4 linked regions of the Schizosaccharomyces pombe genome follow. Changing the gene in region 3 together with the main gene of any one other region gives a genetic interaction. Each region holds a gene or a part of one and is shown on either strand. Other genes may lie near its edges.

Region 1 (9,233 bases), on a different chromosome or scaffold from region 3:
AGGATAAATCGCGCTAATGCCTTGCTTATGATAGGTCAGGTATTTCTGAAAGTCGCGCCAAACGAAAAGAGTGACGCTAATTATTTTGAAGACTTAATGAACGACAGAGGTAAATAGTCATTATTGGATTTACGTAATAAAGGTTAGTGATTGTTGGAAATTGGTTCATAGTCGACTACGAAGGCTTTTGATTTGGGTATGCACCTCACATTTTTCAGCAAGTATGTAATATAGTCAATGTGTTTGTACAAGTGTCATTATTCTGGTTAAAGGAAGGAAATCTCATATATAATTCTTTCAGCCTTTTACTTATAAATTTCATATACAAAGAAAAATTTTCTGCTTTTATTTTAATTCATGTTGGGTATATCAAAATTTATTTTAAGGGCCCTCCAGGTGAATTGGGGAGTCTGGCTGTTAAAACTTCACAACCAGTCTCTGTAACTAACAGTGTATGTTCGAATTGAGCAGAACAGCGTCCAGATGCAGTTGAACTAGTCCAATCATCCGGCCAGGTAATGTCTCGGGCGGGACCTAGAGTAAGCATAGGTTCGATTGTAAAAGTCATTCCTGGGCGAGCAATTCCAGGTGCCTTGTTGTGGGAATAATGAGGAATACTAGGAGAACAGTGAAATAACTGGTTGATTCCATGTCCACAATATGTGCGGACGACAGAAATCTGCTTCTCAGTAATGCTATTTGTATGCTTTTCAATAATATTTCCGAATTCCTGAAACAATACTCCCGGTTTTACCGCAGCAATTGCTTTATCCAAAGCAATTCTCGTATTTTCTACAAGGCAAACGAGGTCAGGATTTGCTTTTGCTTTATCTCCAACATAGTAAGTCTCATTTAGGTCACCATGAAAACCGTTATGGTAAAGGGAAACATCAATGTTTACAATATCACCATCCTCAAGTGGCCTTTGATCTGGAATTCCGTGACAGATGATTTCGTTCACAGAAGTACAAACACTTTTTGGGAACGCGTAATAGTTAAGGGTGCTTGGAAAACAATCACGTTCAATGCATGCATTATGAACAATACTATCAAGTTCATCGGTAGTTGTTCCAGGACGGACGGCAGCAGCGGCAGCATCAAGTACCTCTCTACCAAGTCTACATACTTTACGCATACCTTCCTGCTCCTTGGGTGTCAATCTCTTCAGTTTGAAGCTTCGACCTTCAATTTGCTCGCTACGAGAGACTCCTGTCTTCGCATAGTCAGGTCTTTTTATATGTGGAGGAACCTTGCGTATAGGCGAAAGCGGATAAACTGGTTTCAATGAACCTGCGAAATGAAATTTTGGGAAAGGATTGTAAGTTCCATCCTCTGATGAACAAATTAGAAAAACGCTTGAAAATAAAAGCTATATACTTTTGTTGTACGTACCTCTCTTTTCTACATTCGGTGGACGATGAAGATGTTTGTGAATATTCTGGATTACCTAGTGTTAATTTACGTTACACGAAATTTTCTTGTATTACCCAGCTGTTCCTGAAGCATTCCTTTTTTTTTTTGAATTAGTAAATACGTAAACTAACAGAAAAACTAAATTACCTGTCCACAAAAGTAAGATTTAACTCCGTCATTTAGACATTTGGGACATTGCAGTCTGTCAGCTTCATTATTACAATCTATACCGCAACAAATATGTTTTGCAATTTCAGTAGCCATATAAATACTTTGTCTTAAGGGTATCACTCGCCTTAGTTTCTAGACTCGAGAATTTCTAGTCACACTAGTGCTTCGTAGCCGTGAAGTACATTAATGTCGTTGGAACCTATATAACCCAATGCCACTCTTTAAAGTTATGATTTTTGCAAAACTAAAAAAATAACTTTAATATATGCTTTTCAGTTTTTAAATAAATAATTCATTTTTCTAATTTTAATATGAATTTAAATCATTAACTTATGAAAAAATATGGAAGTTTCACAATACATTCTATGATTAGCATACTGAATGGCTCCTAGAATGTATAATTTTATCTTGTTCTCTTTCGTGTATACTGCGTATGCTGGTATTTGGATCTCGCTTTTTTCTTTGCAGTAGTTCAGGTCCAACGGTATAAACCGCTGAGGAAGCGCTAACGCGAAAATCGTTGGCCTTCGAAATATCTTGCTCGTCACGTGAAAAAGGTGGTCTTGAAGCCTCAATAGGGTTGTTTGAAGATGAACGGGTTGTTGGCAGATTTTCTGGAAGCCTCGATACGGCCATATACACTGTTAAAACGATTAGAACCGTGAGTTGAAGCATTAAAAGTCGCTTTTGAAAAGATGATTCTTGATATAGTGAAGTAATTTGACTCTGAAAGTATTCATTTTCTGCAGAAAGAAGCTCAAGTTTAGCTTGGAGAGCAAACAAAGACGGCTTAACGACACTTTTCGACAATTTCGAAATTTCTAATTGAAGGGTCGAGTTCAATTCATGTAATAGCTGCGTAAAATTCATGTTTTTGGCATTGTGCTTACCATAATTTGTTAATATTTTTTCTACAATTTCATCAAATGCCTTCTTCCGTTCTTCTAAGGTAGAAAGACGCTTATTTATGTTTTTGTAAATGCTTTCCTGATTAGAAGGAAAGGTAGATATTTGAGCGGTACTGTAAGAAGATGAAGAAGATGGAGAAATATCGTTAAAAGAGCGAGTTGATGTTGCAGGATATGATTCACTTTTTCCTGTTTCATTTCCTATAACAACAGTGCTCAAAGACTTAGATATCACAGTAGAAGAAAGTAAGGTGTCTGTACTATTCAACTCGACTGATGGATTCTTTCTCACTGGTTTGCTTTGAACATCGGTATCTTCTTCGTCCACAAAAATAGGACTTTCTTGAGGCTTCCGGATTTCATCTGCTTTAATAGCGCTTCCGTCGTTCACTTTTTGTTCTAAGAAGTCTTCATTTGCTTCTTCAAATTCTTCTATCATAGTTTTTCCATAAACCCTAAGTAGGCTTACAGGACAATAAAATTCTGACCCATAATGAGTTAAAAACTCTATTTTAAGATACTTCGCCCAAATAAGAGGGTTCTCAATATGAAAAGATTGAAGAGTCCTTAGGTTTAAGGCCGTAAATGTACCCAATTCCATCCAAGAAGACTCGTATTTTGGATATTTACCGCTTACACTGACCTTGAAATCACGAAATATACTTGAAAAAAATTCGAAGTTGGCAATTTGAACTGTATCGACATAAATATCCTCACAAAGTTCAATTACCACGAACTTGTTTTCAGCGGAACATTTGTTCAGCATATATTTGTCTTTGTTTTCGGTCAGAATCGAAGAAGATCCGACTGCTTCAGGATTTGTTTTAATGACAGCAGCAGCGCAGTCAGTTGAAGCAAAGTTGAATCTTTTTTCTTCTGAGAATGCAACAGTCTTTTCATCTATATTTGAATCAATTGTAGCTGCTGCTGAAGTAGAGGAACCATCCTCAGAAATTGGTAGAGTAACCGAAGAACTAGTAATAATATTAGTATCAATAACTTCCGTTACAGAATAGTTTTGCTCTAGCTTCTTTGAGGATGAAATTGTAGACGTCTCGTTCACCAATGGTGGGCTAATTGAATCTATAAATTCGCTAGTACTTGTTCCATTGGAATATTCATATTTTGACAAAAAATTAGAAGAAATGGTATCACTTCCATTCAAACTCGTTTTTGTGTGAAACGAAGGTTCCTGGTACTTATTTGTGGGAGTGAAATCCCATGTTGTAGGGTTGCTAGCTTCTTTTTCTTCAGATTTGGTAGCAATCACAGAAAGGTACGCATCACATACCAAATTTTCGTTATGCGTATCTGGTGACTTCAAACACAATGCCGGATATTTACACCAATGACTCGTTTGTGGAGAGCAGCAGCATAACCGAAATATAATAAAATAAATTAAAAAGGCATTTCCAAATGCAGACAATCTTCTTTTGACCATATGATTTAGGCAGCCCTATCAGTTTAATGTGGTAATTGGCTCAAGTCAAGTGCCACACACTAAAGTGTTAGCATCAATCATCGCACATGCCCTTGTTTTATCGCTTTGTTGGTAAAACATGTCTTTTATAACGATTTTAATTAAAAAAGAAGAAAAAGGGTAAAGAAAAAGGCTTGCTTTAATCACATTTCTTCGTATAATAATCAAAAATAAAGTCGTCTACAACGAAACTTCTTGACATCGCATATAATATTTTGCAATGGGGGTTTCAGGTCTTTGGGATATTTTAGAACCGGTAAAAAGGCCTGTCAAGCTAGAAACACTTGTTAACAAACGGTTGGCAATTGACGCTTCAATTTGGATTTATCAATTCTTAAAGGCCGTACGTGACAAAGAAGGAAACCAGCTGAAAAGCAGTCATGTTGTAGGATTTTTTAGAAGGATATGCAAACTATTATTTTTTGGGATTAAACCTGTATTTGTTTTTGATGGAGGAGCGCCGTCATTGAAACGCCAAACTATCCAAAAAAGACAAGCCAGAAGACTCGACAGGGAGGAAAATGCCACGGTCACGGCCAATAAACTTCTGGCTTTGCAAATGAGGCATCAGGCAATGCTTTTAGAGGAAAATAATAAAAAAGCTACTGCATTGGCAAATGCCTCGGTTCAAAATGAGAGACAAATGCCTTCATCTATGACATTGGATAATTCAGAAATTAAGCCAGTACTTAATCAAAGAAAAAATTATTTGAAGCCTGATCCATACCAACTACCTGAAATGGACGTTTCGTTTGATAAGTTAGGGTCGAGTTACGACCCTCGAATTATGTCCCAGGATGAGCTTACACAATATGTCTCTAGTTTTACTAAAATTGAAGATATAAATTTATTTGATTTTTCAAATATTGATTTTGACTCTGAATTATTTCAATCATTACCCGATACGGATAAATATAGTATTTTAAGTGCAGCAAGATTACGCTCTCGTTTACGAATGGGTTTAAGCTCTGAACAACTTTCCGAGATGTTTCCTAATAGAATGGATTTCTCTCGTTTTCAAATTGAGAGACTGAAGGAACGTAACGATTTAACTCAGAGATTAATGGACTTTACTGGAATGAATGAGTTTGGACCCTCTAGAGTAGTAAGTGAAAAAAACCGAGAATATATTTTAGTAAAAAACGAAGGTGCTGAAGGTGGATGGGCTCTCGGTGTTATCTCAGGATCTACAAACAATGAACCTATTATTATTGATGATGAGGCTACAAAACTTAGCAGCAATCTTATAGACGAAGACGAGGATGAGGCATTCTACGATGTGCCTTTACCTAGCCGATCTCATAGCATGAACCCTAGAGAATTGGTAGCCGCTAAATTAAAGGAAATAAAAGAAAATTCATTTTCGGAAAATCAGCAATCAGATGAAGCAGATTATAATGTTACTGATGATTTAATACTTCAATTAGCAACCCAGCAATCTCTAGAGGAAAACAAAAAATCAAAAGAGCTGTTTAGTCTTTCGGCTTCTGAGTTTGATAAGTTGAATAGCGAGAAAAAGACGTTTGAAATTTTGTCGACCGATATTCCTGCAGAGGATTCAATGAATTCACTTCTTAACGACGAGGAAAATTTGAAACTTGAACATGTTGGAGATGTTTCCAATGATTCATTAGCATTCGCGGAAAAAAAGCATCCTGAAAATGGGACTTCAATTTTTATGGATGCCCTTCCATCTGCGAGTAGAGAGAAAAAAACCAATGATTTAATTGATCCTTTACCTTTTCAGCCTATGGATTGGGGAAAGTCTATTTTTTTCGAGAAATTAAAGAAACCAACTGAAACATTTATGGATTCTAAAACTGATATACCAAGTGAGGCACCGGATAATTCTAAACTTGTGGAAGATACAAATTTACATACTATTAATGCAACAGTTAATATTGAATCCGATTTAGACGCTGCTAAACCTGGAATTGAAAATCCAATTATTTCACCTCTTCTTCCGGTAAAAGATGATGAAAAAGATTTAGACTTACGTGAACTCAATCCTTTGGAACCCTTTGAGAATATGAAAGAACAAGCTGATGATGGCACAGTTACCAACCCATTAAATGTTTCTAGTGATAAGGCCATGTCAGTGTATTTATTGAGCTCCGAAAATGCTAAGGATACTGGGGATATCAAATCCGAATCAATTGACGCTGTTCTTCCTACTTTAGAGACCAGCAGCCCTTCACTTAGCATTCCAACTGACTTTCAAAAAGAAGCCTCTCCAAATAAAGGAGCTGCTGCCTTGAGTTCGAAAGTAGAGCCTGAAGTGGTTGAAAAACTTTTAGATGAGGAAGAAGAGGAAATGATTATCAGGATGGCAGAAGAAGAAAAGGAATATGATCGGTTTGTTTCAGAACTCAATCAACGACATGAAACTGAAGAGTGGAATCAAGAGGCCTTTGAAAAAAGGTTGAAAGAGCTCAAAAATCAAAAAAGGTCTGAAAAACGTGATGCGGATGAGGTCACTCAAGTAATGATTAAAGAATGTCAAGAACTTCTGCGTTTATTTGGCTTACCATATATCGTTGCTCCTCAAGAAGCAGAAGCCCAGTGTTCTAAACTTTTGGAGCTAAAGCTGGTTGATGGGATTGTTACTGATGACTCAGACGTGTTTCTTTTTGGTGGAACTCGGGTATATCGAAATATGTTTAATCAGAACAAATTTGTCGAACTCTATTTAATGGATGATATGAAAAGAGAATTTAATGTGAATCAAATGGATTTAATTAAGTTGGCACATCTTTTGGGAAGTGATTATACTATGGGACTTTCTAGGGTAGGTCCAGTTCTTGCACTGGAGATTTTACATGAATTTCCTGGTGACACTGGACTTTTTGAATTTAAAAAATGGTTTCAACGTTTATCAACTGGACACGCATCAAAAAATGATGTTAATACGCCAGTAAAAAAGAGAATTAACAAGTTGGTTGGAAAAATTATTTTACCATCAGAATTTCCTAATCCGTTAGTTGATGAAGCTTATCTTCATCCGGCCGTGGATGATAGCAAGCAATCGTTTCAATGGGGCATACCCGACCTTGACGAGTTACGCCAGTTTTTGATGGCTACTGTGGGTTGGTCAAAACAACGAACTAATGAAGTTTTACTTCCGGTTATACAAGACATGCATAAAAAGCAATTCGTGGGTACACAGTCCAATTTGACTCAGTTTTTTGAAGGTGGTAATACTAATGTATATGCGCCGAGAGTTGCATACCATTTTAAGAGTAAACGGCTTGAAAATGCTCTTTCATCTTTTAAAAATCAGATTAGCAATCAAAGCCCAATGAGTGAAGAAATTCAGGCAGACGCAGATGCATTTGGTGAATCTAAAGGATCAGATGAACTACAAAGCCGTATTCTTAGAAGGAAGAAAATGATGGCAAGCAAAAATTCCTCTGATTCAGATTCAGACTCTGAAGATAACTTTTTAGCAAGTTTAACTCCGAAGACGAATTCTTCTTCAATTTCTATTGAGAATCTACCTAGAAAAACCAAGCTTAGTACTAGCTTACTAAAAAAACCCAGCAAAAGAAGAAGAAAATAAGTTTAATAAATTATTTATTTATTTGTTTACTTAACTGGTTGTTCCTATAAAAGAAGTTACTGTAATTTTTTGTTGAGTAAATTTTTTTGAGTTTTCCTGCTGTAACTGTGTTTAGACAAAGTAATTGAGCAACATAGCTTATATTTTGTGATTTATTCGTGTTTTGATTATTTACAATTTTTCTTGCTCTTTGTTACCTTACCTAATGTCACTTTCTACTACAACCTACTTAGCAGCAGTAAAGTAAAAACGGAGAAACAGAATATTTTTCGAAATGTTAAGTACAAAAATTGATGCGGAAAATGCGGAAAATGCCGCCGAGGTAAGCCTTGGTTATTATTTATTTAATAATACTTACAGATTTTAGATTGAAATGCAGGTACGTGGTTGTAGAAAGTATTTAGTTTTGGTAAAGCATGTACTGATTTAAAAAATTTTAGTTTGCAGTAAAAGCTGTTGAACAGGCTCGTAAGTTGAGCAAAATATGATGGAATAAAAAATAACAATTTAGAAATATACTGGAGTCTTTTGGAAATGCGCAAGGGAAGCGAGTTAAAGCTGACAAAGTAAGTATATATTTACATCTTTAATTTAAAGTTCAAATTGCTTACTATTGAATAGATACGATGATGAGATTTTTGAAGATTTAATAAACACCTTCCCCGAGTTTAAAGACCCTAAAACAGCTTCTTTTGTTAATGAGGATGAAATGAAGTCCGCCAAAGGAAAAGCTGCCTGGCGTCCATTTTTAATGCGCTATGAAAAGAAGGTTGACGATTACAATTTTGGTACTCTTCTTCGTATTAAGAATACTGATGAGTATGAGCAAGAAACGACTATTTTTGGTATGTACTAGGAATCAAATTTAATGGTCTAAGAAACATGGCCATTTTTTAAGTGCCATTTTTTTAAAAAAAATCGTTTATGCGATCCATGAATTTCCATATTTTAATGTTCTATTTTATTTAGCTAACAAGTCTTAGTCCCTCGTATGCAATTTTTGGCCTACGAAATCGCCCGTAATAGATACGGTTTGAACGATTGGATTAAAAAAGATTAGACCTTGTTAATAAATATTACAACTCATCCAAATTTTTCTGAAGGAAGTATTTGTACAAATGATTGCTCCGTAGTTAGATAACATATACATTGGTTTTTCCTAATGTACAATTACAATTCAGAATAAAATCAAAACAAGTGGATGAAGGTCATATTTCCTTCTCTTATAAACGTATATCAAACAAAATTCATAGTGCTTGAGTAAGAAAATGTTATTTTTTCTAAAGTTACTAATTGAGAATTGTGACAAGTAAACAACAAAACCAAAGAGACCAGATTTCCTATGCTAATCAGAGTGATGTTTACAATTAAATCCGTCCTGATTATTCGACGTTTTTTTTTTTTCTAACAAAGTGACTCACAACTTGTTTAGATTTCTAGATATTGTGTAAGGAAATAATTTTTGCTAAAAGTAAACACTTTAAAGAAATGATACTAATAATATGAAGGACTGCAAACTTTATATTTGAGTATAATAATTCTTATAATTATATGAGAACAAAGTGCATAGATTTACTTCAGTGCAAACACAGATATAAAATTGTGTCGAGCTTTATGTTTCTAACTTCTAATAGCGAATCTTTAACCCATTGAGCATTTCAATTATGTAGCACTATTTCATACGTAAGGGCTGCATACTTAT
Region 2 (6,923 bases), 1.8 Mb from region 3:
CACCTTGGTTGTTAGCTACACCAACACTTCTTGCTACACCAGTGGCCCTCTTTCCCCTGACACCCGTTTCAACAGGACTACTAGGGGTACTTTCTCTAAGGTTCGTGATGCTCTCAAGTTCCGTCTTAATGGTCCTATTCACCACTGGGATATTGCCAATGAACTCTTTGACACCGCTTTAGGTGTCGAGATTATCGATACTCAATACGGTATTAACAATCGTACCTCTCGTGACTGGTGCACTGCTGTCAGCGCTTTGGAGAAGGGTGACTTGATCGAATTCGCTGCTGCCTTCACTGCCTTCGATGATGTTAACCCTACCAAGGAGGTCGTTCCTGACGCTTTGGTTGGTACATTGGCTCTCTGGGCCAAATACAGCTACGAGTACGACTTGACTAGCATTGTTAGCTTGTTCGGAAAGAACTGGACTGTTGATGAACTCGGATGGGGAACCTATATTGCTCATAGCCTCAACGAGATCAGCAGCAACACCACCGGTGCTGCTAATGCCACCCTTTTCATTGACACTCAAACCAAGAGCGACTGCTACAAGTTGGCTAGCACCATCGAGAGCTGGAAGTATGCTCCCCTTTCCGCTTTCCCCAACTATGGTCCCTTCTATATTTATGGACAATGTGTCGCTACTTTCACTTCTGGTTACAGCCCTCTCGTTGAGCCTGCCTTCACCTTTGCAAGTGCTTTGAACACTACCTTGAACTCTTTCCCCAACGGTACTTTGCCCACTCAGACCCAAGTTGTTGGAGACATCGGTGTCAAGTTCCTTCAATACTTTGCTTAAATTCTCTCGTTTTTTGATCCCTATTAATTGACGAAAAAGACGGGTCTTTACGTATGAAACTCTCCTGTTAATGCGATTTGCTGCGAAAAGCTAATCCCTTTAGATAAGTTATCTCAAACACGGTCTTGAAACTCCTGGTTAATTGTAGTCGTTTATCGTCTTACATAATTTATTCTATGTGAAAATAAAAATCACTTTTGTTTAGTTATGTGGTCACTGTTGTGAAAAGGTTTATTGTAATGTATTCTCTCAGTAGTAGTAATTGTAGTGAGTAGATAAACGTTTACTGTATTTTCGTCTAATTGCAATTTTATGATGTTCAGTACAAGATATAACTTACTCAATCTTTTTCGATTGGATACATCATACAAATCAAAATTGACACCACTCAAATCGTTAATTGCCATTGTATGCATCTTTAAACTTGTATTATCGCACATATCCACTTTTCTGCTAGTAATAATGTTATCCAACTTTCATTTAGAGCGATATATCTCTTTCTCATTAATCATTTTACCAAGCTGGGTTTGTGAATTCGTTCCAACTGCGACCATCATTATTTGAAATCCATAGTGGTTTATGGAAAGCTACATAAAGCAAAAGCAAAAGAAGGAATTGCAAAATTCGTACTTTATAGTAGCTGAATGATCTATAAACAATAATTTTTGGAAAATACTAAGCAAATAGTTTCGAACGCCTTAAACTCTTGAATTGATTAACTTTTGTACAATCAACTCCAAGCTTCAATACCTAAATTTACTAATTCAATCCTTCTATATGAGATTTCTATAATCATATCTTAAACTTGATTGTAAACCGGATTGTAATTATATTATAAAGCACGCGATCAAAATAGTGAGCTTAGTTGTTGTTTTGCTGATAATGGATAAGATATAATCCTTGCTCATATCTCGTATTTGAGCATCGTATGAATATCTACTTTGTAAGGTTAGGCGAAAATTATTCAACTTTCAACATCTAAAAATTTGATTCTTTTATTTATTGCACGATGTCAGCCTCGCATCCTGGTATTCTCCATGAGTACACAGAAAGGCTTGTTGCTTTCGAGCTAGTTGGAAAAAGTAACGTTACACTTACATCCAACGTAACTCGATCATTATTGTTATTTGTCGGGGGACTTGGCGATGGTCTTTTGACAGTACCATATGTTCAAGAACTGGTCAATCCATTAGATGAAATTGGTTGGAGTATTGTACAGGTTCAAACTCAGTCCTCGTATATAGGATGGGGAACGGGAAGTTTGAAACGAGATGACGAGGATTTACACAAGGCAGTGGACTATTTTTTGCACATTGGAGGCGCGGACTTTTCTACTCGCAAAATCGTTTTGATGGGACATTCCACGGGATCGCAGAATGTACTATACTATCTTACACAGTCCATTCTTCCAAACTACTTAATCGCCGGAATAGCACAAGCTCCAGTATCGGATAGAGAAGCCGCGTATCAATTTAACGGGAAAGAAAAAACAAAGGAATTGGTTGACTGGGTTAAAGCAGAATATCTTGACAAAGGACTAGGAAATGATGTTTTACCTAGAAGCAAGGTAGAGAATTTTTTTGGTGAAGTTCCGACATCTGCAAATCGATGCATTGACTTGACAGATGTCCGCGGAAATGATGACTTTTTCTCCTCTGACCTGAGCGCCGATGATTTCGCTAAAACTTTTGGTAATCTCAAAGAAATCTCCGGCTCCACAGCACATAGTCAGTTGATACTGCTTATGTCGGAAAGGGACGAGTTCGTCTCGCCATCAACTGATAAAGCACAATTACTGAACCGATTTCGCGAATCAATTCGTCCTACAACTTCTAATAGTTCCTTAAGCGGCATCATACCGGGAGCTACACATAATGTCGGGCCAAAATCTTCACCAGAAGCTTTGAAATGGTTGATAAATCAACTTATAACGGCTTTAAGAAGCTTCATTGATCAATAAAGATTCGTAATACATAGAATATGACTTTAGCGCTAAAAGTCACGTAGAACAGTTTAGATAATTGTGATCCGGATGAAATATTCGACAAAATCTCGCAATGGAGATTTAACAAAAGTAATGTTTTAAATTCAAAAGCATACCCTTAAGCTATCAAAAGCTTCCTCAAAGTTGGAGTTTGATAACTTTTGTGATATTTTTTATCTTTGAAGTTACTTTTGAAATGCTATAAAAGGTATATTGAGAACAATTCCAGTTACTAATCTACTGTTTTACAAATTAAGACTTAATGTTTATCCCATTCCCTTCATAGCGCATTTATCCATTTTATACGTGTTAAGATTATATAACAATATTCATCTCCATACTTCTGTCATTGTAAATTAAGGCGTATAGTTACTTCAATTGTATTATGAAGACAACTGCAAAGCTTCTTTATGTTCAACGTCAATGCTAATTAGAGAAAGTAAGCTTAGTAAGGTGGATGAATAATTCTTAAAACACTATGCTTTCTTTATAGCTATTCCATCGTTTTATCCATTTTATGCCTTATTGAACGCCCAATATTTCTTTAATCTGTCATATACTCTAAGGTCGAAGAGTTGTTACTTGTTTAACGGAAGTGGTTAGTTTCCTCTGACTCTCCTTTACAACATTTTACATCTATAAAAGATCTTTGATACTAACTAATGGAAAAAGATATTATATAAATTGATCGTTTCCACCATATTGTTTTCACTGTCCAAGACGTAGAAGCCACCTGTGAGTTCTATGAGCGCACATTAGGAATGTCGGTTATCGCATTTGGAAACAATCGCAAGGCACTCGGTTTCGGTCATAAAAAATCAACTTGCATCAAAAGGGTAATGAGATTGACCCAAAATCACACATACTGACTCCTGGGTCAAATGATATTTGCCTAATAGCTAAAACACCCTTAGAGCAAGTCATTGCTCACTTAAAAAAGCAAAATGTTCTCATAGAAGAAGGTCCTATTACAAGGGCTGGAGCTGAAGGAGTTATCCTCTCTATTTATTTTCGCGATCCAGATGAAAATTTAATTGAAGTTTCAAATTACATCTAAGAATGTTGAATTTGCTTCAAGATTCCTTTTTTTTAGCTTAGGACTTGCTTACATAAATAACGAATTGCAGTGCAATTCCTAAGGAATGAAAACCCTTACCGTTTAGTCAAAAGCACATAATGAGTGATAAATTTTTGATCAATTGAATCTTTGCTATTATGACTTTGGACATTGAAGAGAAAGAAGAGATAGTCACTTCACTCACAAAAGCAGAAATCCATCTTTCTGGATTGGATGAGAATTGGAAACGGCTCGTGAAGCTCGTTGGTAATTATCGACCCAATCGAAGTATGGAGAAAAAAGAGCCTTATGAAGAATTAATTCGTGCGGTAGCATCTCAACAATTGCATAGTAAAGCTGCTAACGCAATTTTCAATCGCTTTAAAAGTATTTCTAACAATGGCCAATTTCCAACACCAGAGGAAATTCGTGATATGGATTTTGAAATAATGCGTGCCTGTGGATTTTCAGCTCGTAAAATTGATTCATTAAAAAGCATTGCTGAGGCAACAATCAGCGGTTTGATTCCTACTAAAGAAGAAGCTGAAAGGCTCTCAAATGAAGAATTGATAGAACGACTTACTCAGATTAAAGGAATCGGAAGATGGACAGTAGAAATGTTACTCATCTTTTCGTTGAATCGTGATGATGTTATGCCAGCTGACGATTTGAGTATTCGTAATGGATACCGATATCTACACCGATTACCAAAAATTCCAACCAAGATGTATGTTCTTAAGCATAGTGAAATATGTGCACCTTTTCGTACTGCAGCAGCATGGTATCTCTGGAAAACGTCAAAACTTGCCGATTATACAAAGCCTGTTAGGCCGAAGAAACACTGAAGGACAGATGTATTATATATTTAAAAGTAAAAAGTTGAATTCGATAAGTTTATTCCTGGTTGGTCTTTTACATTTTATGTACGCTTCTTTTTATTTTTGGTTTACCAATTTATAGTATCTTTTCAATCATTTCTGAATAGAATGTCTACGTCCACTCAGACGAAGCATTTTCGTCACATTACGCTTATATAAAAGAAGTGATTTTTTGGTGAATGATGGCAAAAATAACAAAAGGGAGATGAGATGTTTTAATGGGTTCATTTGCAAATATTTACAAAACACTCTTGGGTGGTTAAGAAAACCCGTTTCTGCTACATTTGTCTTTTACTTTATGTGATACAAGATAGATGACGCTCAGCTGTCTCTAACGATATACTTGCGTATGATATGTTAATAATATAATGAATAATGATTTTTTTTGAACATGCTCATTTCTGTATCTGTATCTATGATGTCGATATAAATATTGAATATTAAATAAACCAGTTATTTCAATTATTTATGTATTGGCATGTAACGAGATAAATCAGCCTCTTTTACCAAAGGATATTTCACCATCATAGATACAATGTCAAATAACAATTGCGCACCAGCCAAGGATGTTATTTCTGCAACATCGTAAGCGGGAGCTACTTCGACAAGGTCAGCGCCTACGAATTTCAGACCTTGCAAACCACGTAAAATTGCTCTCATTTCTCTAGATGACCAACCGCCAGTTTCAGGAGTACCCGTAGCGGGTGCAAATGCAGGATCAAGCACATCAATATCAATGGATAAATATACCAAATTATCACCAACTCTGTCACGAATCTTTTTGACGATACCATCAATCCCCAAATCATCAATTTCACGAGCCTCAATGATTTTGAAACCACAATCAACATCATCATCGTAGTCAGAGAAACTAGAGATAGGAGTACGAATGCCAGCATGAATGTTGGCATCTTTGCTCATAATACCTTCTTGACTAGCAAAGTAGAAATAAGAACCATGGTTTATTCCATCTGCTTCATCGCCATCGCCAATCAATCCAGGAGCCCACGTGTCTAAGTGGCTATCGAAATGAATAACTGAAATAGGTTGTCCGTAAACACGATGCAAAGCTCGTAAGATGGGAAGGACAATGGTATGGTCACCACCGAGTGAAAGGACTCGAGGAAGCACAGTATCATTTTTTGCAAATCCATCATGGTCAGTAAAACTGGAGGGCTTTCGAGCTATTAGCTGGAAATATGCACTTTCTAACTGATCCATAGCTTTAAGAATATCATACGTGGTGACTGGAATATCTCCACAATCCACAAGCTTTGCCCATGATTTGAAAGGATTGATTTCAAGAGGTACATTCACTGCACCGTATTTAGTATTTATGCGTCGAGATCCTTCACGCAAACTGCTTGGACCAAATCGAGCACCAGGGCGGTAAGAAGTGCCTGTATCGAAAGGCATTCCTATAAAGGCAATATCAAAGTCCTCTGACCTTTTACTCAAACATTCAACATTCTCCAAACGACCAAACGTCGCAATCCCTGAATACATAGGTTCGACTATACTTGAGAATTCTACTTCCTCATAGTTACTAGGTACAGCATAGAATGGTGATTGTTTTTCCTTTACGAAAACTGGATTCTTCTCCTGAAAGCCCAAGCCCATCCTCCCAGCTTCTCCAAAGCCAGAAAGTAGCAGAAAAACTCCCCATGTAAACCATTCAACACTTTTCATAATTTCTTGTAGCTACGGTTCTAAGACAGTGAAACTGGCCTTTATATACTTTCAAATTTAGGGCTAATACAAGCCCATCATATCAAAAATCTACTAATCGTATAACTCATTTTATGGCGAATATCGGCGCCTGTATTGCAGAAGTACTGTATAACGGAGTCCATGGAGAAAAATGGCCGATAAATTTTACTGCAAGCATAGGGGGGTGGTTAGGAAAATAAGCTATCGATAGGTTTGGCGGAAATCTAAAGCCTTATTGTTTCTTATTTCATAGAGATGAACCTCGACAAGATAAATGAAAAGGGTAATAGCTTATTGAAATCTCTTATCCTATCCAGAATTTAAATAGAACTTACTTAATCAATAGATTAAGCAGTACATTAGAAAGATGATCATCATCTTAATTAGCAATATAAAAACGGGCTTCTACGTTCAATTGTCTCAGGAAATTTTTTAGGAAATCGTATACTTAATCAAGAGTTTAATCATTTGGCTTTTTGCTATTTTGACTCAATA
Region 3 (7,173 bases):
GGGATCACCTCATATAACTATTAGTATGTGTCTACTTATTACTGAGATGTCACATACTATGTAGCTATTTGAATATTTCATAACCATCAATTCAAAAATTGGTGGAAGACAAATGTTTTTTCCTATTTTTCTATTCCTAAATTGTATACAAAGTAGTTCGTTATAGAGATCATTGAAGGCATGGCAAAAATTGTTTACTAGACATTATGAATTTCAGTAACAGATCTTTGGTTCAATAGTGGATAAATAATATACTCAATAAATATAAAACCATGAAAATCTTAAATATAGCAAATTAACTAAGGCATTGAAAGAAATTTGTCGATCCTGGTTCTTCCAAACTACTATTAACGTATATTCAACTTAAACTTCAGCTTGCCGTTTACCAAGCACTGCATATTTGGGTTCTGCCAGCTTTCCCTTTCTATTGTCATGATTTACGCTGTTTTTATATTTAACAATAAAGGGAAACCTCGTCTCACAAAGTTTTACACTCCAATTGATGAATCCATTCAACAAAAGTTAATAGGAGATATATATGCAGCTGTATCCACTAGGCCCCCAACCGCTTGTAATTTTTTGGAAAGTAATTTAATTGCAGGTAAAAATAGAATAATTTATCGCCAGTACGCTACTCTCTACTTCGTTTTTGTAGTAGATGAAGGTGAAAGTGAACTAGGAATTCTCGATCTCATTCAAGTAAGTTGAAATTAGTTACTTTCCAATTTCTAACTATTAAAGGTATTTGTTGAAGCATTAGATCGATGCTTTAATAATGTTTGCGAGCTTGATTTGGTAAGTACATTTCACTACTCGTTTATCTTCCCATTATCCTACTGCTATATGTTTGAAACCATTGATTCCGTTTTTTTTTATTTAATTTGTTTTTTTCTTATTTGGTTTCGAATGTTTGGAAATTTGGCCTTACAAGAAACATTAATGTTTGTCCAATATTCGATTATCAAAAGAGCATAACATTTATTTTTATCATTTATTGAACTTAGGAACTACAAGAGTTTAATTCCTAATTCCTTTACTTCTCATCGCCTTCAAGAAAGAAATTATGCATAGAACTGGAAGTAGAGTCTCATTGTCGATGATTCGCAATCTCCAATGAAAAAAAAGAGGAGGTGTTAGTAATAATTATCCAAATACAAGTGTATACGCCAAAAAAAAAGGATATTGAAGGAAGAAATAATTAGAAGAGTTGAAAGCCATCTGTTTGAAAGCGAATTAGAAAGATCTAACACAATATAGGTTTTTAAATTCCAAGAAATACATGCTATTCTTGCTGAGGTAGTATCTGGTGGTCTTGTCTTAGAGACAAATCTGAATGAAATTGTTTTGGCAGCTCAGAATCAAATGCCAAAAACCAAACGGTCCAATGCAATGCCATTCAGCAATACATTAAGTTCTTTTGCTACTAGGTTCTAGTGACTTTTATGTATATGAAGAAGATGCATGAGTATTGTTCACTAGAAGAACTGGATAATTATAATCACCATAACGCATCTGTTTCGCTTGATTGTATAATGGTTCCATTTCATCGTCTATTTCAAATTGGAGCCCATTTTCGAAATGTGAAGTTGACATCCCTGGGATAGAAAAGTAGGACTTATTTGATTGTGGAGAGTTTTGACTATTGTTAATGAGACGCACTCGAGATTGATCATATCGAGAAATCCAGTATTTCGATTGACCTCCCTGACTGTACCGAAGACCATGACTTGTTCTATTAATCCTTCCATCGTTTCTTGAAGGTATTAAGTTCTCCCCAGGCTCAAAATTTTGATATACATAACGATCTCCATGTAGAGTTTGCAAACTATCGCACCAGACGTCTTTCAACCCGATTACGTCTTTAAAGGCTTTAAGGAGCGGTAGTCTTGCACAAGACAGCCATGTGGGTGTATCGTAATCCTCGATTCGAAAAGCGTACCAATGTGAGAGGGCAAAAAAGGGCATTTCTAAACACATGAGAACGTTCTGATTTAGTAAGGAGTAAATCCAGCCTGTTCCATTTAAAAGTCCCAGCCAGTTTGTAATGGAAAGAACGGTTTGCTGCCAGTAAGAGGCAAATATAATAGCTTTAACGGAAAGGAATTTTGGGAAAGGGCGAAAAGGAGCGAGCTCTTCATGCAAGCAAACCCAAAAAGTTGTTAGTGAATATAAAGAAAGCGTAATTGAAATGTTATAAACAAGACCTATCCAAAGGTCTGCAGAAGCATAAACAGGTTGATCTTCTCTGTCGTAGACTCCGGTGACTTTTGTTAACAGCACGGCAATCACCAGAAATGGTTTAAGCCAAGTGTATTGTAAAATCCCACGTTTTATAGAAAGGAAGGTGTAAGGATCACTTAGGTCAATATCATCTTGCAAATAATTCAAGGGCCATAACCTAGGACGAGGCAGATGTCCATGCAAACTAATAACTGCAGCCCGTTCTCCGCCAAGATAATCAATTAATAAACAGAAAAAGCAATACAAAGCGAATGCCTAATTTATTGTTAGAAATTATTCCATTAAAACCTCAATTACGCCTCATTAACTAACTAAACTAGTAAACCAACATAGTACAACTCATAACAGCCAAACCACTCTTTCAGTCAACCCCTTTTCAAGCATTTTAAAACAAATCTGCAATATATTGATTGCCAAGGAAGGTACTTCATTCAATGGCAACGGCTAAATGAGAAAAACCTACCTCGTAAATTTCACGAAACGGTTCGAAAATACTTCCAATTTTTTCATTGTATACCGATAAAAACGATACAGAAGAGTAAATTACAATCCTAGCAAAGCATTAGTACATTTCTATATCAGTCAAAGAATTTCAATTTTACGAACATCATCAAAATTCGCACCACAGAACGCTGTAAGACTGGTTTTTTGTAATTTTTCAAATGAGTAATGATAGAAATACATGATAGCACTAAAGCAATGGCTACGAAGAAGCCGCATAATGCGACTATTTCGTTGTCCATGAAATTAGAGCTGATCGTGATGAAGGGACAAAAATGCAGGCAAGGTGGCTACCACAAGCTATAAGGGGGCCTTCTCCAATTCCAAACAGATACTACCTACTACGGGCTTTACGGTGTTTGTACGCATAAGCTATAGATAAAGTACCGAAACTTTGTGATGTGGAAGAGTTCATCGAAGCTAATATTGATTTACCTCTTTAGTATGGATATTGTTTTATAGCAAAAGTAAATTAATAATACTGTCTTACAGGATAATTTGCCCTATAGCTGTAGTACTGCTGTAAAAATCATTTGTTTCCATAATACTAGCAATTCGTGATCTTTAATTAATCTAATTTTTGTTTTTTTTTTAAACTCTACTTTCCTCCCTTCTGTATGATGGAGGACCTAAAGTAATGTCTCCCATAGCATTCTGATGATTCTTAAGCTGACTTTTTGAAAAAGAAGCAGTAAAATATAATGAGTGTTTGTTTCTTAATGCGTAGGAGAATTTCGCCTTGGCATATATATGGCTTAGTTAAAAAATTATTTCTTTTATAAAATTGAGAAACTCCAAGTCAGACTATTACCGCATTGTATTCAAAACAAATCACTTATAAATTTTAATATTTTTGCGCTCACCTGCGTTGTTTCTTGGATGTAATATCGCTAAAGTTCAGTAAATGAGTTGTTGAAGAAAATAAAATCTTTAGCCAAGACTGCAGACAAATTTGTATTTGTTAAGCAATGAGTAAAGACTACGGAACTCCTCCTGAGAACTGGAGGGAGGTTTACGATGAAATTTGTAAAATGAAAGCCAAGGTCGTAGCGCCTGTAGACGTTCAGGGTTGTCATACATTAGGAGAACGTAATGATCCAAAAAAATTTCGATTTCAAACACTGGTGGCATTGATGCTTTCTAGCCAAACAAAAGATATAGTACTGGGTCCTACCATGCGAAACTTAAAAGAAAAATTAGCTGGAGGACTTTGTTTAGAAGATATCCAAAATATTGATGAAGTTTCTCTAAATAAACTAATCGAGAAAGTTGGTTTTCATAACCGAAAAACCATTTATTTGAAACAAATGGCACGTATTTTATCAGAAAAGTTCCAAGGAGATATTCCGGACACCGTAGAAGACCTAATGACTCTCCCAGGTGTGGGGCCTAAAATGGGATATCTATGTATGAGTATTGCATGGAATAAAACTGTTGGAATTGGAGTAGATGTTCACGTACATCGTATATGTAATCTTCTTCATTGGTGTAATACGAAAACTGAAGAACAGACTAGAGCTGCTTTGCAAAGCTGGCTGCCTAAGGAATTATGGTTTGAGCTGAACCATACACTTGTCGGTTTTGGGCAAACAATCTGTTTACCAAGAGGAAGGCGCTGTGATATGTGTACTTTATCTTCTAAGGGCTTGTGTCCTAGCGCCTTTAAAGAAAAAAGTGGCATCACAATAACTAAGAGAAAAGTCAAAACGATTAAAAGAGTCAAAAAAAGACCTGCTTCTGAGTCACCTCCTCTATCTCCACTCTCCCTTCCTACAGATGATTTGTATTACCAAAGCATCGAAGATAAATCACTTATAAAACTTGAGGACTTGGACCCTGTTGATAGTATATCACACATGAATGAACCTTTGAAAAAAGAACCAGCCGCTGATATTGATGTAGATCAGAAGCCACCTGTCGCATTCCATTCAACTACAAAAGAAACTAGGTCACTGCGCAGGTCAAAGCGAGTTGCAAAAAAATCATCCCAGTATTTCTCCCAACAAAGTTTACAAGATATTGAAGATCTGGTTTAATTTATTTTTAGGACCGTAAATTTTGGACAACATAAATCTGTTATTTATTTACATGAATTACTCAAAATTATTTATTCTTTACAACTCCGTCTTTAAACATATTCAAGAACCTTTTGCTACTGACTGTATAGTTATAATATCCTCTACCTTTACTTTTTAATAATTTTTTTAAATCTTGGAATAAATTGAAATCATTAATGTTGTTATACCCTTCAACAAACAATGCAGAATGTAAGATACTCGTTAAATACTACTAAGAACAATTGGAGTTTCGTCGAACATATAATAAGTACAAAAGTTTTCGGTTAAATCCTCTGTGTGAGGCGTATACAGCATCCAATCGATAGGAATGGGGCCGGTTATAGATATGTCAGGGCGCACTGATGGTCGATCGGCATCAAACGTTCTGTTCAGTTCATAGCTGCTACCCCTCGCATCACGTAAAACACGGTTTTTACGGACCAGTCTGTTTAAGCTTCGAGTTATGTTCGAATTTTTAATTTTTCTATTCGAGTATTTACTAGAATATTAGTAATTGACGATGTCAGGAAAATATATAGAAAACTTACGCTTGAATAGTGTTAGTGATAGTAGAAAAAGAAACAGCAGCAGGGAAAGATTCTAAAACTTGTAAAACTATTTCATCTTCATTGCTATATTCTTGTAAGTATTCATCTATGGTAGGAATTTTTTCACTCTCCATGTATTGCTTATCCACTTCAACTGGTTCGGTCGAAGGTAAGGACGTCGAATGCTTGGTTGTTTTCGATTGTGATTCTGTTCCATTATTTAGACTTAGATACTGATCTCCCGTTACAGGTTCATTCATAGTAGCTGTAAAGGCAGACCTTTTGCTTTGGAGCTCTTGGACAATAGTGGAAGTTTTAGGACTATAGAACGGGATGTCGGGATGTAATTGCTCACAGAATAATAGGATGTCAACCAGTTGGGAGATCGGAAGACTTAAAAGATAAGACTTTTTCTCTTCCGAAGACAGATTTAGTTCTCGTGCCGTAGTTCCAGTTACGAGAGGCGCTTGCTTTTTTCTCCTAATGCAATCATCACAAAACCATTCTCCATTGGGGGAATCTAAAAGTTCATCAGAAATATAGGGTTCATGACAAAGTTGATGGAATGGAGTGTTACAACCATCACAGAAAACGATGCGATTTTTTGGTGGAGATTGAAGTCGTTGACAAACCGAACATTTCATAGCTAATGCGACCACAGGTCGACGACCTGGGCCACGTCGTCTAGTAGGTAATTTTACAAGGGGATCGAAATGATTAGGGCGATGCACTTTTCTTCCTGATTTTGTTTTGACACCTTCCAAATTAAATTGCTCTTCCCTACCATCTTCAGTAGAAAAGAGGGCGTCAGCGGTGTTGTCACGTTCAATAGCCAAACTGGCAGGCCATGATCTTTTCCGAGCAATGTTCATAGCAATTGACATAGGAGGTAATGGCGATGAACTTGCAGGAACATTTGGGGGTAACGCAGATTTTGTTTGGGAATCAGCACTTCTATGATGCGCATAATTAGATGAAGATGCGTCTTCAGTGAAAGGTGCCTGTTCGCTTTTTGCATCGGTTTCCTGATTTTTACTAGATTCTATTTCTTTAGCAACATCATCATTTTTGTACGAACCGAAAGCACCTGACTCCTTGTTTGGCTCGTGAAAGTGTTGGAACTGATTTTCCAAATGCATGTTTGAATTCACGTTAGGATTTTGTATATCCTGAAAGGCTTGATCTATTAGCACAGAGCCTCCATTTTGATTAGATTCCTCCCCCTCAAACATCGTTGGATGCAAATCATTGGGAAATCGACGACTACCGTCGAATTGAAAAGGATATGATGCCGCTTCAAAAGAACCGCCATCGTCGTCATAGTACGATGAATTCGGCATTAGGTTTTAAATCATTCATATGCTCATGTAAAAAACAAATGAAAAAATGAAGCAAATGGCAAAAAATGCGAATGTGTAAGTTCAACACGCGTGTTTGGAATTTAGGTGAGATTTAACGCAACTTATAAATCGTTTGCTGCTGTTACTCCAATTATGTTTTGCTAGCGAAATGAGATTGATCATCACTATATCTCGCTTATTCACTTCTCACTACAACTCACTGTCTAGTCATATATAAATACTGCACGTATCCATGAAGAGCTGAAATCTCACATTTATTAGAGCTTTTTTATTTTTAATTTTGTTAAATTTAATTATTCATGCATTAACTAGTCATAGCTATAAATATGAATGAAAATTTGGTCTTTCCTTTGTTTATATTTCCTAGATGGCCTAACAGCTATAATTGATTGAACTTGTATGCTATTAAAGGCGATAAACAGACTTCTTTAGTACTTTGCTAAAGAAAATATAATTGCAATGATC
Region 4 (8,396 bases), on a different chromosome or scaffold from region 3:
CGGTCGAGATAGCTTTCTATCGTGACTGTAAACAAACGGTATAGCAATATTGTGATAAATTTGTTCAACCGTTGTCTAATACAAATCATCATGTCCGCCGTCAACACTAAAGCCTACAGAATGAAGGTACTTGCCCTTCTCACGTATATTTTTCTTCTTCTCTTCTTCATGAAGCTTCGCCAAAGGATACAGTTCTTCAGCAGGCATACGTCGCAATTGTTTGACTGCATCATACTCCTTATCCAAATCCTTTTCGAAATATTTAGCCCACGTTCAAAGAAATTTATAAAGATGCTCGAATATTTTATGTTACAAACGAAACTTACCAATTCACCTAAAAGCACGACGTTCTCGCCCCGAACAATATACACACCTCTGTCTATGTCCCCGTACATATCATCCACATAGATCCTCTCAATCGTGTATTGCAACATTAAATTTGCTACACAGTTAGTAAACTCACTTATGCGCCTATTCACGCAAACCATACCAAATTGATCAAAGGACCTTAAAATTCCAATCAGTTTTTTTCCATCTCGTAAAACAACAATCACTTTTCCTAAAAGGTAAAGTTAGATCAAGGAAAACATTGGAAAAAACACCGTACTGTCTACGTAGTCAACAAGTGACCCAGAAGTTGTGAATGGGATAATCTGTGTAGCTTGATTCATTCAGCTATTATTTGGATGTAGCATAAACTAATAATTTAATTTAGATTTAACTTTCTATTTCTTTTATAAACGCCTGATGACTTTATTTGAGTGTTTTCCTTAAAAAACGAGTTCGAGGAGATGGTTAGAAGCAAGTGCTCTGAGGTCGTCAAATCTGGAATCCTAAATTCTCCCTGTTTAACCCTAAAAGTGCTTCTGAAGTTTAAATGTTATTCGTTTGTTATGTTTTTTTGCTAATTGTAAATTAAATTATTTGGTTTTTCCATTTCTAAACTTGCCCATCATTGAATGTTGTAATCTGACTTTCTAGTTATAAAGGGAAGTCGGTCTTCACAAAAATTAAAGAACAAAAACATGTATATTTTTGATCACAGATTGTAAAAAGGGAATCTAATTATACTCAAGCTACCTAACAATTTTTCAGCATCATAAGCGGATTAGTTCATTGAAAGGCTCAACATTTTGCGAAGAACAGAAATAAATAATTTGATGATTTTTATCAATTCCAAAATCGAACTTGTAAAAATGTTGCCAATCCCATTTGTAATATCCCTATTCTGAGCTATTTCGACTGAGAAGAGATTGCCTATTATTCTCTTAGAACGTTCATTGAACGTTTTTGGAGTGTTCTGAAAAAAGATAATAAATTTAGTTGTTTTTATCTATTAATTACAATCAAAAATCGAGCCTTTAATAATGTATTGTATGGTTATCAAAAAGCTTTATTTATTTCTAACAACGCTAAAAAACTTTTTTTTTTACTCATTTAATATAAACAAAACAGTACAACTATTTAGTTTTAAGAAATTTGATAGCATTTCTACAAATGTTTCAACTCTAAGGCTCTCTCGGATTCTGCTCATAACGCACAGATAGTGTTTAGTGAAAATTGACAGAAATAGGCGACTCAGTGAATTTATTATACATTAATTAGCTAAAAAGAAGCAACCGCCTTTCTCTGTGATTATCGTTTGGTGACCATAGGATGATATTTGGATTGGATTTATAAAAGACTTGTATACAGCGTTTGTAAAAGATCTAGCGGCTGGAAAATCAATATGAATCAAGATAAATCGAAAGAAACTTCCGAATTGGATGATCTGGCGCTTCCTCGATCGATCATTATGCGATTAGTCAAAGGTGTCTTACCTGAAAAGAGTCTTGTACAAAAAGAAGCTCTCAAGGCTATGATCAATTCAGCAACTCTTTTTGTTAGTTTTCTAACATCCGCGTATGTAATCTATATAACTATATAACCATATTGAAGGGCTTGTATGATGAAAGAATTTATTATATAATTGCCAATTTTATTTTCTTCTGGAAACACTTTGTATATGAATGAATAAAGACTAACGTTACTTAGTTCTGGGGAAATTGCTACGAATAATAACAGAAAAATTCTTATGCCTCAAGACGTTTTGAATGCGCTCGATGAAATTGAGTATCCAGAATTCTCTAAAACGTTAAAAAAACATCTCGAAGGTATGTTTCTTACTCTGTACTTCTTCTAACTATTAAAGCATATGAGCTTGCCTTGAAAGAAAAACGATTGAAACTCCCTAACGTATCAGATGTTGATAACAGAAAGAAAGCCAAAATAGACGCGCATGACACTACTCCTCTAGATGAAGAAAAAGACGAATTAGAAGAAGAACGAATTGCGGAGGATATAGCACAAAATGAAGTTGAGCAAAATATTGATGATGTGGAGGACCTCGAAGAAGTGAATGATACATTAGACGCAAACGCAGAATCTCCTCAAATAGAAACCATTCATCTTACAGATGCTACGGGAAACCCAATTGAAGATAGCTCTGAATCCGACTCAGAAGAATCTCTTCAACTTAATGATTCTTCGTAATTACTGTTGGTTAAATGTATATGAAGATTGTCAATAGTCCTAACTTACATGGAGAGCTAATCATATTTTTTTACACGAAAAACTAAACCTTCTTTATTTTTTAATGGATTTTTTGGATACCTGTTAATACCCCAATTTACATCCTTGTATCCAAACATAGCTTTTTTAAACAGCAGTTTGAGATAATGTCTTTCTAGCACAACATGTATACTCGTTTAATGACATATATTTAGAAAGAATCATTAGATTGTTTACAGTTGTAACTCAATATTAGTCAATCTAGAATTTTTTTGAAAATCAACATTCAATAGGGAGAAGGTCGAAAAGAAAAGAAAAAGTTCATTCTCGAATTAAACAAATGCATTTTATTTTCCATCAGATTAACTTATGTCAACAATTGTAAATTCAAAAGTCTGTCGCCTTTACCTTCGCACACTTTCTCTACGTAAAAATTATAAGAATGCGAATTCTAAGTTGGAATGTGAACGGTATACAGAATCCATTCAATTATTTTCCATGGAATAAAAAAAATTCCTACAAAGAGATATTTCAAGAGTTACAGGCTGATGTAATATGTGTTCAAGAATTGAAAATGCAGAAAGACAGCTTTCCTCAACAATATGCAGTTGTTGAGGGATTCGACAGTTATTTTACATTTCCTAAGATCAGAAAAGGCTATAGTGGGGTTGGATTTTATGTAAAAAAAGATGTTGCTATTCCAGTGAAAGCAGAAGAGGGAATTACTGGCATCCTGCCAGTACGAGGACAAAAATATTCATATTCAGAAGCACCGGAGCATGAAAAGATAGGATTTTTCCCAAAAGACATTGACAGAAAAACTGCTAATTGGATTGATAGTGAAGGAAGGTGTATATTATTAGATTTTCAGATGTTCATCCTAATCGGTGTTTACTGTCCAGTAAACTCTGGAGAAAATAGACTAGAATATCGACGGGCCTTTTATAAAGCCTTACGAGAAAGAATTGAAAGATTGATAAAGGAAGGAAATCGAAAAATCATTCTCGTTGGGGATGTGAATATTTTGTGTAATCCTATTGACACTGCTGATCAAAAAGACATTATTCGAGAGAGTCTTATTCCAAGCATCATGGAATCAAGACAATGGATACGTGATTTATTACTACCAAGCAGGTTGGGACTACTGTTGGACATTGGCCGTATTCAACATCCTACTCGGAAAGGAATGTTTACATGTTGGAATACAAGACTTAATACAAGGCCCACAAATTATGGTAAGTTCTGAATTGTTATTTTTTTTACAATGGATAGGTACGAGAATTGATTACACTTTGGCAACACCCGATTTATTACCTTGGGTTCAAGATGCAGATATTATGGCTGAGGTCATGGGTTCAGATCATTGCCCCGTATATTTAGATTTAAAAGAAGAATATGAAGGAAAAAAGTTGTCCAACTTTCTAAGTCACTCAAAAGAACCACCTTTACTATCAACGGCGCATCATTCAGCCTATCGGCCATCAAAAAATATTCATTCAATGTTCCAACATTTCAATTCGATGAAAAAGAATAAAAACAACTCACCCACTCAGAGCGAAAACGTATCTGCTTCTGCGTCCAGCGGCTCCTCACCAACTGTTTCTCGTGCAAACTCTGTCATAGACGTCGATGCCTACCCACCGGAAAAGAGAAGACGAAAAGAACAATCGAAGCTTCTTTCATTTTTTGCGAAGCAAAAGGAAGAGAAAGAAGAAACCAATAAAACAGAAGACGTTTCGATTGAGGTCCTTGATAACAATAATGAATCTGACATAGGGTTGACAGTAAAAAAAAAAGTAGAAAACGGGAACGCCTGGAAGCAAATATTCAGTGAACGAGCTCCTCCACTTTGTGAGGGTCACAAGGAACCTTGCAAGTATTTGACAGTGAGGAAGCCGGGAATCAATTACGGGCGGAAGTTTTGGATTTGTGCCAGACCGGTTGGTGAACTGATTAAAAACTCAAATGCAGTTTCTGAGGAAGATACTCAACCGTTCCAATGCAGGTTCTTTATCTGGGACTCAGATTGGAGAGCAAATTCAAAGGACTGAAAATTTGTAATGACTAGCATAACTTGCTCTTAATCAATTCTCAATTTTGATGTGTATAAACCGCAAAAAGCATTGAGCAGTGCATCACACATCTTTCATTAACATTCTTAATATGTATATACGGAATTTTGTACGGTTAAGATTTCTTTTTTTGAGATCCGAGCATCATTTCCAAACATATAACTTTGTTTGGATGTACTTTTCTTCTGCACACCGGACATTTTTGTGTGGCAGCCGTTGTACCTAAAGCACTTAGTATACAAAAATTGCAAAATATATGCCCACAGGGAGTACAAGATAGGTTTTCCGGACTATCCAGACAAATTACACACTTATAATCAGCTAGTCGTTGTGAAGATGGAACAACCTGTTTTTTGCTAGGTTCTTCTTTTTCAATTTCGGCGTTGGTGGTCGATGGGTTCTTTCCCTGTTCAAATTTTTGTTTTCTTGGATCATAGGAAGTCTCATCAGTTAAATCAATCATATCGCTTATAGTAGTAGGTTGCGCGTGAATACTATTAACATTTGTTAAACTGTTTTCAACGGAAGCTGGATGATTGTTGTAGGTGAATCTTTGATTTATGTCATCAGCATCATTCTGAAAATTAATGTCTTCCAAGTCGAATACTTCACTTTCCACATCTATGTTTAAATCAGAGGTTTCAACAGGTAGTGTTTCTTCTTGTGCTAGCTCCGAAGCAACCTCTCTTAGCGACCTTGGTGCACGATTCAGTGGTAAAGACTCATTCTCAGAGGTAGTGCCTGAAGGATAGTCTGTTGCATCTTCTGAAACCGGAAATCCGTTTCCTGGCGAATTCTCTACTGGAGAAGAACGTCTCCTATTTATTGCTGCATTTCCAGCTGCGACTCTAGCGGATTGAGATGGGATATTGTATGGTGCAGATAAGTTTCTAACGTTGGTATCTCTCTTATGTGCGGGTGGCATTTTTTTGCCAATTGGTCCTGAAATTCGAAAATAGTTTATAGATTATTGATTAATGGGCTAATATTAGGATAATTTTGATCGTATCCTAATCGATTGTCAAATGCTTTTCAGGCTTGCTAGAATAATAAAAGAGAATTGTGTTAACGTCAATATACGCAAACAGCAATTATTTTGGCAACTTGCCAACAAGTTTAAAATTAAATTTAGTAGACCTATGATTTTTGAAGTCTACATGGAAAAATTGGCTCACTACCACAATGTTGTAAGATGCTAGTCTAATTAATATTTATGACCTTTTTCATGAGCACATTCAATAGCGCAAGCGGTATTTCAAATAAGAAAAGAGAACAGAAAAGCTGGTAAAACTTAATTGTGTATCAATAATCTTTTCAATGCAGTTCATTAAACTGCGCAACCGACATTATTATGAGTATTCCATAAACTATGCAAAAATGTATTATGGAGTGCATTAAGGAATGCTAAAATAAAAAAACGATAACAATGTATATCGCTATTTCTTTTCCAAATTGTTGAATATTAGAGGAGTGTATATACTTAGCATCAACCAACGCCTTTTTTTTAATCTAGGTCTGGGTAGACGCAATGGTCAAAAGCTATACGCGGTACGAACCAACCGAATTTTTTGGTGTCATTGCGTCTTCGGGATGTAATATTCTCGGTCAACCCTCTTCGTCTGCTAAATCTGTAGGCAGAGCCATTGTTGGCGGTCTTGAGTCTGTTTTGGAATGGGATTTAAAGACTGGGCAATTACTATCAAAATGGAAGGATTCTGATTGTTCGGCAAAAGTTACTTGTATTGCAAACTTTGATGAAATGTACGCTGTGGGCTATGCAGATGGTTCTATACGTCTTTGGAAAGATGGAGAGCTCTTAATAACTCTTAATGGTCATAAAAGTGCTGTTACTACCATGGATTTTGATAAAATGGGCACAAGATTGGCCAGTGGAAGCATGGATACCGACATTATTGTATGGGATATTGTAGCTGAAACCGGCTTGTTTAGACTACGTGGACACAAGGACCAAATTACCAAGCTTTTGTTCATTACACCTCCTTCGAAGAATACAGCTGAAGAAACAGTGGTGGACACAGATATTGATTCCGGCGACATGGACGTTGACAGTAAATCGTCTGATTCGTTTCTTTTGTCTGTTGGCAAAGATTCTTTTATGAAGCTTTGGGATTTGTCTATTCAGCATTGCGTTGAGACTCATGTCGACCACCAAGGCGAAATTTGGGCTATGTGTGTTTCACCAGACGCCAAACGGTGCCTCACTGCTGGTACCGGTTCTGATGTTAAAGTTTGGGAAATCAGTTTTCCAGATGACAATAATTTCACTCCAACTACTAAAGCATTTCAGCAATTAGGTACCTTTACCCGTCAAAGCCGTGACCGTCCCATCACCTTGGCTTACGACGTTTCAAACCGTTATGTTGTATTCCAAGCTCATGACCGTCTTCTGGAGGTTTTTCGCCTTCGATCAAGTGCGGAGCTCGAAAAGATTCTGAATCGACGACGCCGTCGTAAAAAGTCTGAGGACGTTTCGATCACGTTAAAAGACGAATATGAACCTTTTGCTCTAATTCGAACCACTGCTCGTGCTTCGTCTGTAGCTTGGATACCAGGAAATCGTACACCTACGTTGGTAACATCTCTTCAAAATAACTCAATTGAAGTTTACGCTTTGGATGTCAAATCTGAAGGTTCTGCTGCACCATTAACTGAACGGGCTTCGCGTATAAGTGCCATTGAAATTCCTGGTCATCGTGCTGACGTTCGTACCTTGGCTTTGTCCGCTAATCACGATGTGATTTTAAGCGGTGCTAACGGCTCTTTGAAGCTTTGGAACAAGAAAACCACATCTTGTATCCGTACAATCGAATGTGGTTATGTACTTGCTGCTAGCTTTATAAATAACGACAAGTGTATCGTATCCGCTTACAAATCAGGAGAACTTGAAGTCTATGACATTGCTAGCTCTTCTCTTATCGAACGTATCCAAGCTCACGATGGCGCGATTTGGGATTTAGCGGTTGGTCACGATGGCACTTACTTCGCGACTGCCTCTGCCGATCACACAGTCAAACTCTGGTCTCTAAAATCGTCTTTTGATTTCGTACCAGGTACCACTAGAAAAGTCACCACGTTGAAATTAGAGCAAACACGACAAATAGATTTCACAGACGATGTCCTTGCGGTTAAAATTTCACCTGATGGTCGTTTCGTTGCTGCTTCACTATTAGATAATACCGTCAAGGTATACTATTTGGATTCGTTGAAATTCTTTTTAAATCTTTATGGTCATAAGCTTCCAGTTCTCTCTATGGATATTTCTTATGACTCAAAGTTGCTGGTTACTTGCAGTGCCGACAAGAATGTCAAAATATGGGGTCTTGATTTTGGCGATTGCCACAAGTCTATATTTGCACATCAAGATTCTATTATGGAAGTCACATTTCAACCAGATACTTACAACTTTTTTACTTGTTCAAAAGATCGAGAAGTTCGTTATTGGGACGGTAAATCATTTGATCTAATTTTAAAACTTCGCGGTCATCACTCTGAAGTCTGGGCATTAGCTGTTGGTCCAACTTTTGTTGTTTCTGGCTCCCATGACCATTCAATACGTTTATGGGAACAAGGTGACGATTTGGTATTTCTAGAAGAAGAACGGGAACGTGAGCTTGAGGAGCAATATGAGTCAACGCTTGTTTCATCTTATGAAAATGCTGAAGCCGACGGAGAGGTTAAAGACGGAGACGTGGCAGCTGTCACGAAGCAAACAATTGAAAGCTTAAAAGACGGAGAAAAGATCTTAGAAGCTAT

The links.
Region 1: mutations in nth1 (region 3) and rad13 impair growth when combined (synthetic growth defect), as found in Schizosaccharomyces pombe (2 studies listed by BioGRID, with this or other methods).
Region 2: of nth1 (region 3) and mag1, a mutation in one rescues a mutant of the other (synthetic rescue), as found in Schizosaccharomyces pombe (2 studies listed by BioGRID).
Region 4: of nth1 (region 3) and apn2, a mutation in one rescues a mutant of the other (synthetic rescue), as found in Schizosaccharomyces pombe (3 studies listed by BioGRID).

The regions. Positions count from the first base shown.
Region 1 is NC_003423.3:2,671,317-2,680,549, reverse strand, and holds rad13 (DNA repair nuclease Rad13), read left to right. Parts: upstream 1-3,980; 5' UTR 3,981-4,192; coding exon 4,193-7,531; 3' UTR 7,532-7,560; downstream 7,561-9,233. Other genes in the region: SPOM_SPBC3E7.11C (DNAJ domain-containing protein type Caj1/Djp1), read left to right, coding at 1-117; methionine aminopeptidase Fma1, read right to left, coding at 377-1,332, 1,393-1,438, 1,488-1,508, 1,561-1,677; SPOM_SPBC3E7.09 (Sad1-UNC-like protein), read right to left, coding at 1,954-3,933; SPOM_SPBC3E7.07C (uncharacterized protein), read left to right, coding at 7,806-7,853, 7,899-7,910, 7,972-7,999, 8,043-8,097, 8,153-8,376, 8,515-8,591. UniProt on the Schizosaccharomyces pombe protein: Single-stranded DNA endonuclease involved in excision repair of DNA damaged with UV light, bulky adducts, or cross-linking agents. Essential for the incision step of excision-repair.
Region 2 is NC_003424.3:2,951,900-2,958,822, reverse strand, and holds mag1 (DNA-3-methyladenine glycosylase Mag1), read left to right. Parts: upstream 1-3,958; 5' UTR 3,959-3,998; coding exon 3,999-4,685; 3' UTR 4,686-5,095; downstream 5,096-6,923. Other genes in the region: SPOM_SPAPB24D3.07C (uncharacterized protein), read left to right, coding at 1-799; SPOM_SPAPB24D3.06C (uncharacterized protein), read left to right, coding at 1,809-2,759; SPOM_SPAPB24D3.03 (agmatinase), read right to left, coding at 5,181-6,407. UniProt on the Schizosaccharomyces pombe protein: Hydrolysis of the deoxyribose N-glycosidic bond to excise 3-methyladenine or 7-methyladenine from the damaged DNA polymer formed by alkylation lesions. Can release ethylated and propylated bases from DNA in addition to 3-methyladenine.
Region 3 is NC_003424.3:1,104,378-1,111,550, reverse strand, and holds nth1 (DNA endonuclease III), read left to right. Parts: upstream 1-3,674; 5' UTR 3,675-3,710; coding exon 3,711-4,778; 3' UTR 4,779-5,021; downstream 5,022-7,173. Other genes in the region: AP-3 adaptor complex subunit Aps3, read left to right, coding at 433-699, 742-795, 1,258-1,434; transporter Hfl1, read right to left, coding at 1,441-2,496, 2,705-2,792, 2,848-2,984; Lsd1/2 complex PHD finger domain-containing protein Phf2, read right to left, coding at 5,022-5,298, 5,348-6,687. UniProt on the Schizosaccharomyces pombe protein: Bifunctional DNA N-glycosylase with associated apurinic/apyrimidinic (AP) lyase function that catalyzes the first step in base excision repair (BER), the primary repair pathway for the repair of oxidative DNA damage.
Region 4 is NC_003423.3:1,284,414-1,292,809, forward strand, and holds apn2 (AP-endonuclease Apn2), read left to right. Parts: upstream 1-2,975; 5' UTR 2,976-2,992; coding exon 2,993-3,785; exon of another isoform or gene 3,786-3,822; coding exon 3,823-4,601; 3' UTR 4,602-4,737; coding exon of another isoform or gene 4,738-5,547; 3' UTR 5,548-5,681; downstream 5,682-8,396. Other genes in the region: mRNA-decapping complex subunit Lsm1, read right to left, coding at 76-249, 327-442, 491-559, 608-671; DNA polymerase epsilon subunit Dpb4, read left to right, coding at 1,730-1,902, 2,035-2,153, 2,192-2,532; SUMO-targeted ubiquitin-protein ligase E3 Slx8, read right to left, coding at 4,738-5,547; U3 snoRNA associated protein Dip2, read left to right, coding at 6,151-8,396. UniProt on the Schizosaccharomyces pombe protein: DNA repair enzyme that cleaves apurinic/apyrimidinic (AP) sites and removes 3'-blocking groups present at single strand breaks of damaged DNA. Provides the majority of the AP-endonuclease (APE) activity. Repairs phleomycin D1-induced DNA damage.